Linked DNA regions of Mus musculus: region 1 is reported to be linked to region 2. Evidence: microRNA targets listed by miRTarBase, many of them from high-throughput screens and not tested one by one. Region 2 holds a microRNA gene; the other region holds the end of a gene's coding sequence.

Evidence for each region. The annotated mature microRNA mmu-miR-143-5p reads GGUGCAGUGCUGCAUCUCUGG and lies in region 2 at 2,230-2,250, opposite strand. An mRNA with a match to its seed (bases 2 to 7 or 8) in the 3' UTR can be bound and repressed. Matches are read on the target gene's strand: a 7mer-m8 pairs with bases 2 to 8, a 7mer-A1 pairs with bases 2 to 7 and ends in A, and an 8mer does both.
Region 1: miRTarBase lists Dnmt3b as a target of mmu-miR-143-5p. The part of its 3' UTR that is shown has no 7-base or 8-base seed match.

The regions. Positions count from the first base shown.
Region 1 is chr2:153,686,032-153,692,141 of GRCm38, reverse strand. Dnmt3b (DNA methyltransferase 3B) reads right to left here. Exons shown (of 23, transcript NM_001271744.1): 23 at 4,412-5,884. The coding sequence ends at 5,743. Among named protein-coding and RNA genes, the nearest start is that of Dnmt3b, 40 kb to the right of the region's middle.
Region 2 is chr18:61,647,004-61,653,267 of GRCm38, forward strand. It overlaps Mir143 (microRNA 143), which reads right to left and starts at 2,255; the gene lies at 2,193-2,255. Carmn (cardiac mesoderm enhancer-associated non-coding RNA) reads right to left here. Exons shown (of 5, transcript NR_045402.1): 3 at 5,240-5,403; 4 at 2,904-3,147. It overlaps Mir145a (microRNA 145a), which reads right to left and starts at 891; the gene lies at 822-891. It overlaps Bvht (braveheart long non-coding RNA), which reads left to right. Exons shown (of 3, transcript NR_045420.2): 3 at 201-482.

The DNA of each region.
Region 1 (6,110 bases), not on the chromosome of region 2:
ACCTTGGCCATCTCTGGAACACAGCCTCTTTGTGCTTTCAGAAAACACTTCCCAGAAGATGTCACCTCAATGATGCTGGTCTCTTCTTAATCACCGCTAATTTCTTAGCTCCAGCTAACCAGCATCAATAGTCTCAGTAATGCAAAGTTTTTGCTTTGGTAGTTCTGGTATCTTGTTAATCACAGCTGATTCTTCAGCCCCAGCTATCCAGAACTACAGAATCTTCACAATCAAAACAGCAATGGCCCTGAAAAGAGTCTTTAATTTTCCCTCTGAAATTTCACAAACCAGACCTCCATCTTCTGCAGTGTTCTCAACATTATCTTCCAAGCTCCTACACAACATCCGACAGAGCTCTTAACAACAAATGGATCTTCAAGCCCAAAATTCCAAAGTCCTTCCACAGTCCTCCCCAAAACATGGTCATGTTGTCACAGGAATACCCCACTCTGCTGGTACCAATTTGTCTTAGTCAGGGTTTCTATTCCTGCACAAACATCATGACCAAGAAGCAAGTTGGGGAGGAAAGGGTTTATTCGGCTTACACTTCCATACTGCTGTTCATCACCAAGGAAGTCAGGACTGGAACTCAAGCAGGTCAGGAAGCAGGAGCTGATGCAGAGGCCATGGAGGGATGTTCTTTACTGGTTTGCCTCTCCTGGCTTGCTCAGCCTGCTTTCTTATAGAACCAAGACTACCAGCTCTGAGATGGTCCCACCCACAAGGGGCCTTTCCCCCTTGATCACTAATTGAGAAAATGCCTTACAGTTGGATCTCATGGAGGCATTTCCTCAACCGAAGCTCCTTTCCTGTGATAACTCCAGCTGTGTCAAGTTGACACAAAACTAGCCAGTACAGATACGCATGAGCCTGCTTCATTAAAAAAAATTCTTAGGGCTGGTGAGATGGCTCAGTGGGTAAGAGCACCCAACTGCTCTTCCGAAGGTCCGAAGTTCAAATCCCAGCAACCACATGGTGGCTCACAACCACCCGTAATGAGATCTGATGCCCTCTTCTGGTGTATCTGAAGACAACTACAGTGTACTTACATATAATAAATAAATCTTAAAAAAAAAATTTAAAAAAGAGAATGCAATTAATATTTAAAAAAAAAATTCTTAGCTGGGCATAGTGGCTCGTGCCTGTGTTCAGGACATAGAAGGCAGAGGCAGGCCGATCACAGTGAGTTCAGCTTGGTCTACACAGCAAGATCCAGGTGAGCCAGAGCTGCATAGTGAGACTTCGTCTCAAAAGGAAAAGTTTTCTCCCCAAGTTTGAAGGATAGTTCATGAGTTGGGCTGGCCTTGGCTGCAGTGACTGTCCCTCTATACTATTAGTTCCTGCCATTGTCTTATATTCTCTAATACACAGGTTCTGTACCCATGACTAAACTATGCCTAATTCAGTTGCTCTCCTCTGTCCACGTTCTACAAACAGGTCTATTAAGGCCTGGGTAACTCTTATCTGTCTAGATAGCCAAGGAAACTTTCTCATGTGCTGTTACTAGAAAAATTTCTCAGGCTCGACTTGATTGCATATTATGTTCTGTGCTTTGGTATCCTTAGAAACCAAATCACAACAGAGGCCAGATAGAACTGCTTTGTAAAGCCAGGCGTGGTGGCGCACCCCTTTAATCCCAGCACTTGGGAGGTAGAGGCAGGCGGATTTCTGAGTTCGAGGACAGCCTGGTCTACAGAGTGAGTTCCAGGACAGCCAGCCAGGGCTATACAGAGAAACCCTGTCTCAAAAAACTGAAAGAGAGAGAGACAGAGAGAGAGAACTGCTTTGTATAATTAGCCATAATAAGCTTGGACCAGGACCGACCACCCAGCAGTCCCTCCTGCACCTAGCTAGATATGAGCCTTTATGGTTGCTTGCCTTTATTAGCTGCCCCTGGGACGGCCCTCAATATAAGAAAGACACCTGCACCAATATAAGAAGCCGTTTAGAGTAAAACTGCCATTTTGAGTAGGGGGTCAAATAATGTTTAAGTTTCCAAGATCTCCCTGGAAATTGACATCCTACTTGACAGAGACATTTACATCCTGGTTGGCAGGTTAAAACATGAATGTTAGCCAGGGCACTCTATACGATGTTAGCTGGGCATCTCAGCCAGTTCCCAAGTCTGGACTGCTTCCCTGATCAATCACTCTTGTCGTGCGTGTAAACTCAATAAACCAACCCCGTTTGACTGAGTTCTGTTTCTGAGTGGTTTGTGCAGTGATTCCCAGGCCCAAATAAGACCCAACAAATTCAATTCCGATGACTTCGGACAAAAATACAAAGAAACTATTATGGGAACATTTTACTTTTTTTTCAATTCTTATTTTTAATGATGGTTCTTAAATGCTTTATCCTCCCTTTTAGCCCACCACCCACCAGAGGGCGTGGAAAAGGAAGGATATGGGGAAAGTGGGCCTGTTTGGAAATGGCTCTTTCTTTGGTCAAAGCTTATCCGTGTTATTCAATTCACAAGAGTCAGCAGTGGCAGCTCAATCCACTCGCAAATACTTCACAGATATATTAGCAGTACAGGTCTGTAGAGTCAGGATAGCACTACCTAGCAGACAGCCAGGCCTTAACCTGGGCACAAATCAGCAGGAGGGACCCAGGAGGGCTGTCAGAAGTCTGTGATCAGTGTAGACGCAAGAGCTACCAACAAGTGTTGCACAGCTAGCTCTATCAGCAAGCTCAGCTCAGCCTTCCACTGTCCCATCTATTTCTTCTCCCTCAAAACATCACATCTTCCATGGGTCTTGTTTCAACATGTGCATTTGTCTCAGTTGACATCACTCTGCCAATCAGCCAGTCTGAAGAGGTGGCAACAAACTGCAGCACACTACCAGAAGTCTTTTAATGAGTTTCTCTCTGTGGGGTTCAACAAATAGAGCTCAACTAGGCAATGCAAGGCGGACCAATATGTACATTAGCAAACAATCCTTCATCATGTGACCTTCCATGTCTTGATTCAGCAGAGCATCGTTTCTCCTGTGTCTGCTTCAGTGAAACATGTTTGCCTTAGCAAAACACCATCCAACACAACTGACTTTCCAAAGATCCCTTAAGACTGAAAGAGTCCCTTACCCTGGAGTCCTTCAAGTGTATCTAGAATTCCAAGACAGTTAAAATTTGCTTAAGGCCTTTATCCCTTCCCAACTATAAACCTACAATCTGCTAGGAATCTCACCAGAAGATACATTTACAGTCTCTCCATCTGGATGACTTATTTAAATCTATGTATGGCTTTTAAACATTTAAAACTCAAATGCTTAGTCACCAGAGAGTAAAACTGTTTGATGAAAGGACCAAAGATTAGGAAGTGTGACCTTGTTGAGGAAGCTTGTCATTGGGGTTGGGCTTTGAGGTTTCAAAAGTCCACACCAGGCCCAGGCTCCCCACTCTTTTCTCAGGTACAGATCAGGATGTAGCTCTCAGCTCTGATCCAGCACCACACATGCCACCCTGTCCCTACCATAATGGACTAAACCTCTGAAACTGTTAGCAAGCCCCAGTTCTTATACAGTATATATATATATTATGTACATGTGTGTCCACCTACACTTGTGCCAGGGTTCATATGGAGGACAGGGGATCTCTTGCATGGAGTCAGCCTGTTTCCACCATGTGGGTCTTGGGGTTAGGATATCAGGCTTAGCGCCAAGTACCTTAATCCACTGAGCCATTTTTCCATTTCTGAGTCTTTATTGAAAAACTGGTATGTATGCTCTCTTGATATTTTTCTTGAGCATCTTTCCATTTTTAATAAAAACCCTAACTCTGCTTCATGCTGCCCTCTTCAAGAATTCTTTTGTTTGTTGAAGGACACCTGCACACAACATGTATGCCTGGTACCTGTCACTCCAGAAGTCAGAAGAGGGCAATGGCTTCCCTGGAACTGAGGTGGTTCTGTGGGTGCTGTAACCAAACGTTGGTCTCTGGAAGAGCAATGAGCTACTCAACCACCCCTTTAGCCTGGGGGTTGGGTTTGTTTTGATTTGAATAGGATCCCCAGGCAATAATGTTATACAAAAGCAGAACTAAGCCAAAGATGCGAACCATTTCACTTACACCTCACACACCTAACCGTGGCATTGTTATAATTGACCACGTTTACCAACCAATGACTACAGGTCACAGTTTTTACAATTAAACTTAAATTACTCACTAAGTCTCATGATTCTTGGTAACTAACCAAGAACGACACAGGTCAGCATGTTTATTTGTTATGACTGTCCTTCTGTTAAGGCCATGGGATCCAGCAGGTCACTGTTTTACTCACGATGTTGTCCAGGCTGGCCTGGAACTCACCTGGTTCTGTATTAGAGAACTATGGGAGTAAAGACAGTGGCTCACAAACATGGCAGCAGGCCTCAAGCCAGTACACATCAGCAGATAAAAAACACACAGCACGTTATAGAGAAATACAACTTTAATCAACCAGAAAGGTAAACTCTGGGCATCTGTCATCTTTGCACCTAAAAATTAGAAACCAGTGGAGACAAACTGTTGAAACAAGGCAGTCTCTCCCCACACCTGTGAAGTTACAAAAGCCCACACCTTGCGAGTTACAAAAAAAATGGTAACATGAAAATAGAAGTCTGAGAGTCATAAAAAGAAGTGTTGTCTGCTTCTATAAAATAGCACCTGTAATTAGGTAAAAGGTGTTTAAAAACCATTACGATGGCATTTCTGAAATGCAGCTTTCTTATCTCCAGTGATGCCCCTAAAAAAAGCACCCCTTAAAAACACAATCTATCGTGGGGTAAAAAGCTTTTAACATCTCCAGAAGGTTTTCACTGTAGTTCCCCAAACACTGCTCAGATAAGGGGAACGATGTGCTTCTGGTCCTAGCTTCTCATGAGGAACTAGGGGGTTCTGGGGACCTGAGCTGTTGGGGACTGGGCCCCTCATTTGGCAAGAGGGAGTGGGGAATGGATTTCCCTAAGCTTCCTCCTTCGTATCCCTCACACCTGGAAGAGGGCCACTCCACCCACCCTTCCTGAGCTCCAAACATTCTACTCCAGTCTTCGTGAGGACTAGCCACATGGGCCCCTGCCAGGGAAAAGCCCTAAAGGTGATGATGTCATCCCTGCTGACATCATCATCCTGGGAAATGCTACAAGACCAACAGGACTTCAGCCCTTGTACCAAAGCAAGGGGAAGGTGCCAGGAAGACTTAAACCATAAACATCATCTTCAAATACTCCTGGGGGGAGAGGGGGAATTTTTTTTGGCCCCTTGACCTTGCTCATCTGAGCCCACATTCACAATAGCATCCTCCAGCAAATGTGGAGCACGGGTTACTTAAAAACAAAATCTCAAGTGATTTTGCAGCATGAACCTGAGTACTAAGAGAGCTGTTGAGGTTTTTTTTTTGTTTTTTGTTTCTGTTTTTGTTTGTTTTTTTGGTATCTTAGCCATCACTTCTGAGTGATAAACTCAGGAGGGTAAAAGAAAGCCATCTTACTACCTACTTCAAGTTTTAAAGTTTCAGGGTAAGAGAACATGAGCACCATGCCGGGCTACTCTAAGCAGCCAGGTCTGAGCTGTGCACACGGAGGGAGCACCGGGGCTCCCCTGCAAGGGCCAGGAGGCTCTGCTCCCACTGAGCAGGAGAAAGCTGAGGTACAGTGATGTGAGGCCCCACACAGGTGAGCTAAAAAGGGGACAGGTGAGGTGCCTTCAGGGAGGGGTGACTCTGGGCACTGGCTCTGACCGAGAGCTCCCCAGTCCTGGGTAGAACTATTCACAGGCAAAGTAGTCCTTCAAGGGGGCAAACAGGTGTCTGATGACCGGTACACTCCAGGACCTGCCCAGCAGCTTCTGACGGGCGCCGCGGCCCATGTTGGACACGTCCGTGTAGTGAGCAGGGAAGCCGAAGATCCTGGAGTATAGAGAGAAAAGATGTGAGGTTAGAAAGGTCCATGTCTCTAAGACACCAACAACAGCTGTGTTCTGGAGTTCCAGGTCTGGGAAAGCCACCAGCCCCCAGCCCCCACCCCCCACACGCCCACTGTATCTGCCCCATGTCTCTACCCTTCCCCATGCCTTCTGACAGGACTATTGGGCTCAAAGGAACCTTCCAGACTACCAGTCCCACTGCTTTCTCC
Region 2 (6,264 bases):
GGTTTATTTTTTTATTTTTAAAATTTGTTTGTTTGTTTTTAGCACAGTGAGCAAAGATTTACTAAGGAAAAAACAAGGAAGAACTCCCAAGAGTTGGGGGGCCGGGAGCTATAAGTAGTTCCTGCCTCTACTTTTTCTTTTGTCTCAGACATTCAATTCCACGCTTGAAATCAACCCTGGCTCTGCCTTTTGCTTTCTAGGCGACCTGGCTCTTGTTTGGGCCTAAGGAAAAGCCGACTGTAAGCCGGGAAGCATCTCTGGCAAGAACAAGGAAGGATTAAGCACGTCTGTGGTTGTGCGCAGGGATCACAAGGTGCTCCTGCAGTGGGAAGAGCCACCACTAGGGGCGCTCCAAGTCTTGTATTTTCTACCTTGAAAACTCGTTTCCCTGTGGCTGCCCTCCAAATCCAACGGAGATGAATGGCTTTTAGTTTACCTAGCTGATTTAATAAACTTTAAAAATAAATGTACGAATGACTTTCTTAATAGTGTGGATGTGGGTCTGTGGCCCCTCCTCACCACAAGGTCTACAGGGAAGGCATGTGGAGGGTCAGAGTGGAGGGGAGCCGTCTCATAGTCTGGTTTTCAACCACTGTGTCTTGAGACGAGTTTCTCAAGAGTGAGGCAGTTCTGAGCTTCCCACATCCAGCCTCCCTCCTGGGGATGTTAGGAAATATGGACAGGGCGGAAAGAAAAGCTATACAAAGGTCAGAAGAGAGCTCCCAAGACCGCTTACCTCCGACGAACCGCCTCCTCCTCCCTACTCCCCGGAAGGAAATGCCAGGGTGGGAGGGAGACAGATCCAGCTGCTAAGCCATGACCTCAAGAACAGTATTTCCAGGAATCCCCATCTTAGCATCCAAGGGATTCCTGGGAAAACTGGACCGTGAGGACAAGGTGGGAGAGAGAGAGATGCCTTCAGCACGTGCCACGCCCCTAGGGACCAGCAGTTCTCTCGGCATCCACCGTGGGGCGCTGTATACACCCTCCTTCCCGGGATGCAGCGTCCTGCTCTGGGAAGAGCAACTAGAGCTTTGAGTGGCTTGGAAAGTACCTTCCCTAAGGTCAGGAAGCATTTGGGACCAGTCCTCCCTGCCTCCCTCCCCCCGCCATGGTCCACGGGGACTCTGGCCAGTGATTATTAAAAGTCCGTTCCCAGGCTCTAGTGACCTTCTCGCTGCGGTCCTCCAGCAGGTCACTTGGCCTCTGATCCTCGTACGATTGTAAAGTGGCATCAAATAGGACCCACTGGATGGGTCAGGAGCCAGCATGAAGGCAGCGAAGCCATGGACGCTTAGAAATATGTATGAATGGTCAGGGGCTGGTGAGATGGCTCAGCGATTAAGGGCACTGGCTGCTCTTCCAGAGGTCCTGAGTTCAAGTCCCAGCAGCCACCTGGTGGCTCAGAATCATCTATAAAGGGGTCTGATGCCCTCTTCTGGCATGCAGGAGTGTGTGGTTCTGTCTCTGCTGTTACTACAGCTGAGAGTAACCAAGACCAGGGTGGGGTTTGTTCTCTTCTACTCTCCTCTAGGAAGTGGGTCGCCTTCCTCAGACCAGGCTTGGGAGGTTAGCAACAAATGGATATACCCCAGTGACTCTCCTCTGTTGCCCCTTGCCTCTCTGAAGCCTCTGGGACAAGGGCAGACATTTGTGAGATGCCAGCCTGGCTCAGGCAGTAGCACAGAGGCAGGGTAGAGCTCAAAAAGTGAAGACTGTGACCTCAGGCCTAATGTCTGGCATTTCGTGGTTGCAACGTGACAGTGTCGTATCGTTGGGTTGCCGGGATCCTGAGCCTCTACTGGGGCTAAGGATTGTTAAGGACTGTCTGATTTACAGAGACGAAGGGGTTTCAACGCAGAACCATATACAATGGCTATTCACTATGCAGTGTTGAGAAGGGTTCCGAGGGTGTGTTGGAACCTCCCCAGAATGGGTAGATGTAGCGTCTTTGTTAGCAGTGTCTTCTCTAGGCTGAGGAAGTAGAGGCAGGGTGTTGGTGCTGGCAGCCCCTGAATGGACCAGAGCTTACTGTTGTAGAGGGCACAAGAGTGATCGGCCCTGGTACAGCTTGAGCCCAGGAACATCGCCACAAGCTGCTGGAGCAGAATCTAGGGACAACCTATCTAGTCCGCTATCCCATGCCAACACTTACCACGTCCCGGTGACGGCTGCAGGACATCTTCTCCCTTCCTGAGCTACAGTGCTTCATCTCAGACTCCCAACTGACCAGAGATGCAGCACTGCACCTCAGGCTGGGAGACAGGCGCTCCGCACGCAGGCCGCGCGGCTTTCTTCTTGGGCAGGAGGAGTGTGAGCATGCGCAGTGGTCTGCCTCCTATCCGGGTCTTGGCTTACCCTGGAGCCCTCTGGGACTGAAATTTCCACTTTCTTGTCCTTTTGTCGTTTTAAGTTAGCTTTCTTGTGATAGACCCACCCATTTCAAGCATGCAGTTAATTTTTTTTTTTTCAGTGCTAAAGATGGAACCCAGGGCCTGCCTGCTCAACCTGTGGCTCCCCTGTTTGTGCCCCGCCCCCCATCCGTCTCTTTATGCACGCAGCACAAATGACTGCTAGTGAGAAACTGTCTCTTCTTTAGTTCTCAGGACATCTCCTTTATGGGCTCGCCCATCCTTTGCACTCCTGTTTCTCCCTAGCTCTTGGGGTATCCTTTTCAACTATGGCCACTTTCCTTCGTAAGGAAAGGGAGTCTGCTGGCTTCCCTCAACCCCCGGATCAAGGCCGCCGTTGAACACTGCTTGAGTGGCTTGCAACCTACCTCATCCTCTGTGGCCTTGGAGCGGTTTATCTCTGGGTCACCCCAGCTTTCCTCTCCAGTTCCCTGAGGCCAGGGTTCATATATTATGATTTGGGGTCCCTAGAACCTGCCGATGACTTTGCATGTGACTACAGACAAAAGATGACACGTGGTGACCATCTTCTGTGGCCACGGCTTGTGTGGGAACTTCGGGGTGAACAGAACACCCCTGACCCCCAAACCACCTACTCACCCTGCTCTTGCTAAGACACCCCCCTCCCCCAGGGTCCCCAGATAACCTTTGCTTCGTGGTGACTGCGGTGGCCTTGGTGATGGATGATACATACCTTCAGGGTTTTCTGAAGAGGGTAGGCAGCCTTTCCTCAGGGCTGGAGAGAACAGAAAAAAAAAGTGCGCCTCCATTTTTAGAAACCCCTTTGCTCCTAGGCCTCCCAATAGGAATCTAGCTCCCTGAAGTTAGGGGTGAGGTGCAGGGGCAGTGGGAAAAGCTTCTTTGATTTGTTGTTAAGGCCAGGAAACTTCTGCCTTCAGGCACTCCCCAGCCAATTACCATCTTCCCTCTGTCTGGACTCCTCAGACACTTTCCACAGCCCTTTTACCAGGAGATCTGAATACAGGACTCTCTTGAGTCAGAATGTCTTCTCCAGGACATTCCCCCACAGCTCCCATGGACCCTGGGAGAGGTGGCACTGAAGTTGACCAAGGGACATTTCAGTAAGTAGCTAGGAGTGGTGGACACAGCCTAGCTGGGTTGCTAGGAGCCTTCCCCAGGGTCAGCTGTGCCCAAAGCCCTTTTGCCTCCATTGCTTTTGCTTTCTGGGGAAGCAGAGGGAGTGGAGATCTTTGGGAGTCATTTGGTGACATACCATTTGGGTCGTCCCCTGCCTCTTTGTCTGCCCTCCCCTCCCCCTTATTTTCCCTTTTGTCCTTTCATTTTAGAAACAGAGACACATGTAGACCAGGCTAGCCCCAAACTCATTCAGTGTATAGAACTGCTGATCCCCCTGCCTCTACTTCAGGAATTCTGAGATTACACGCATAAGCCACAATGCCTGTTGACCTGGAGCCCTGTGTGTGGGGAGGAAAGCCTAGCTGTTCTGCCTCTGACTTCTTCCTGAGGCCTGTTTATTTCAGGAAGGGGCTTCAGGTCGGTGTCTGACAAGCCACAGAAGCAGATGACAGTGTGGTACTGATGTTGCATCTTCATTATTATTATTGTTTAAAACTCTGGCTGGTGTTAGCTTTCCATTTATAACAAGTATTCCAACCTAGGTACATAAAAGGATTCCCCTTACTCTTTACAATAAAATTGCAGTGAAAAACAGGACATCCACTGATTAGGTTTGGGGCGGGACAGCAGAGCCTGCTCTACCTTCTGGTCAGCTTTTGTGGCTGGAAATGATCACCTTGGTTGGAGGACCAGGAATGGGGATAGGGCATTCTAGATTTGCAGTCAGCAACTCAGAAAGGGGAAATGAGAGCTGCTGCCATCCCACCTTGGGATAAAGGAGAACGTGGCAAAGATTTTACATCTTCTTGGCGGGACACGAGAACTAGACAGAAGGTGGTCCATCTTCCTTAAGGAGACATAAATGGCCAGACAGTATGGAGAGGGAGGCGTTCAGCCAGGAAAGGTCTTTGCCTCTTCTTCCTTGACCCATCCCTGGATAAAGACTGTCTCATTCTGTCCCTGTGATTCTAGAATAGTCAAGCTGGTGAACATTTAAATGCACATATCCCCATAGGTCTCCAAGACTCCAAGGAAATAGAATTTTCCCCGGGGTTGGAGTGTAAGGCACCATGCTGGGCCTGGCCCCTCACCTTCAACTCCATGCCTGACATCTCAGTTTCTTAGCTCTCTGGGTGTGCGACAGCTCATTCAGCAGATCCAGAACCATCTCTATGTGCTAAGGGAGTATGTCCCTGCACTGCAGCCTTAATACTGTCCTTGTCCTTGCAGGACACAGAGGCTGAGGGGGAAGGAAGGCACCGAGGAGGGCATGGGGGCAGACTCATCGGAACTCTAGAGAGCCCGTGGAAAGACTGCCAAGAGCTCGTGGCCAGGGAGGTTCCTTCCCCCCACCCCTTGAGTAGCTCAAAAGGCCTCCTGGAAGGGGTGGGGTGGGGACTGGGATGGTGGGAAGGAACAGTAGGACAGGAAGGAATGCCTTTTTTCTCTGGGCCCATGAACATACACGTCCTGGGCTGGTAGGCAGAGCTTGTCCGGACCCCTGGCTCCCTCAAATGTAGCCTCCCTGAGAAGAAGTATTTGAAGAAGCCTTTCATTCACCCCAAGAAAGGCTCCTTCGCCCTCCCTGAGCTGCCGTTTCGAAGATGAGAGAGGCTTAGAGAGCCAAGCTCTATCTCCAGAGAGCAGGGATATTTCTCACTGGGCCCCTTCATCTCCCGTTCTCCATTCTGTTAAAGCGGTGGCTGAACCAGGTGGACTCCAGATCTTACCTGGCACTCTTCTTGGTACTGGTTGTCAACAGCTTGAAGGCCTGCTGCCAGGGAGTAGCCCGCCTCGTCTCCTTTTCCCATGTCTTCAGAAGATGTCTCCAGGCAAGGGGATCTCTCCCTTCTGTCCGTTGGGAAGCTCCCGGGAGGGGTGAGAGGAGGGGACGCTGAAGGAGAAAATAAACAGTGGTTGTCTGGATAGTCTCGCCAGGCCTAGGCAGGACGCTCTGTGGCTCCTGCCCTTATATGGCAAGGCTGCTCTGAGCTAGGAACCCTGCCTGTCATTCCCACCTCAGGCACCACTCAGAGGACTGAGGGCCACCACTGGTCACCTGGGACGCTGCTAAGAAGGCGGACAAGACCTGGCACGCATGCTGGGAATCACCTATACACACCGAGCAGGCTTATCTTGGCTTTTGATTGGTGTAGCCGGTGGGAGGGATAATCAATGAGAATACGAAAAAGAATTCATCCTCAGCCAGCTTTGAGATGAGAGTAATCCGCTCCTCCATTTTGCAGAAGAGAAAACAGGCCCAGAGAGGCTAAGGACAACTACGCAACTGAACAGGAAATGAGGATTTAATTCAGGCTGTCTGGTATTGGGGCCTGGTATCTGACCTGGCGTTCTGAGTTGACTGCCTGGATGCAGCATAAAGGGGGAGGATTTGGCTATCACGTGTGCTCTGTAGAAAGTCGATTGTGTTGGAGGTTTGCCCCTGGGAAGCCAGGGAAGCCCCAGTGTTCTACAACACAGCCTCAGAGGAACAGTTCCTTAGACTGGGACAATAGGCTATTTACTGGTGTCTTCAGCATATGACACTGGGCCTGCTGCAGATTAGGGCCTCATAGAAGGGACGTGGGGAAGCACCTGGTCACAATTGCAGCGTGTTTTAAGGATCAGATGAAGCAACAGGTGGGAAAGCACAGAATATCTTTAAGATGGCTTTCCCCCTCCAAAGTGGCCTCTGGTGTCTCCCTATGCTGACGCTTCTAAATGAGCTGTTCCCACTCTGTCCAGCTATGGGACT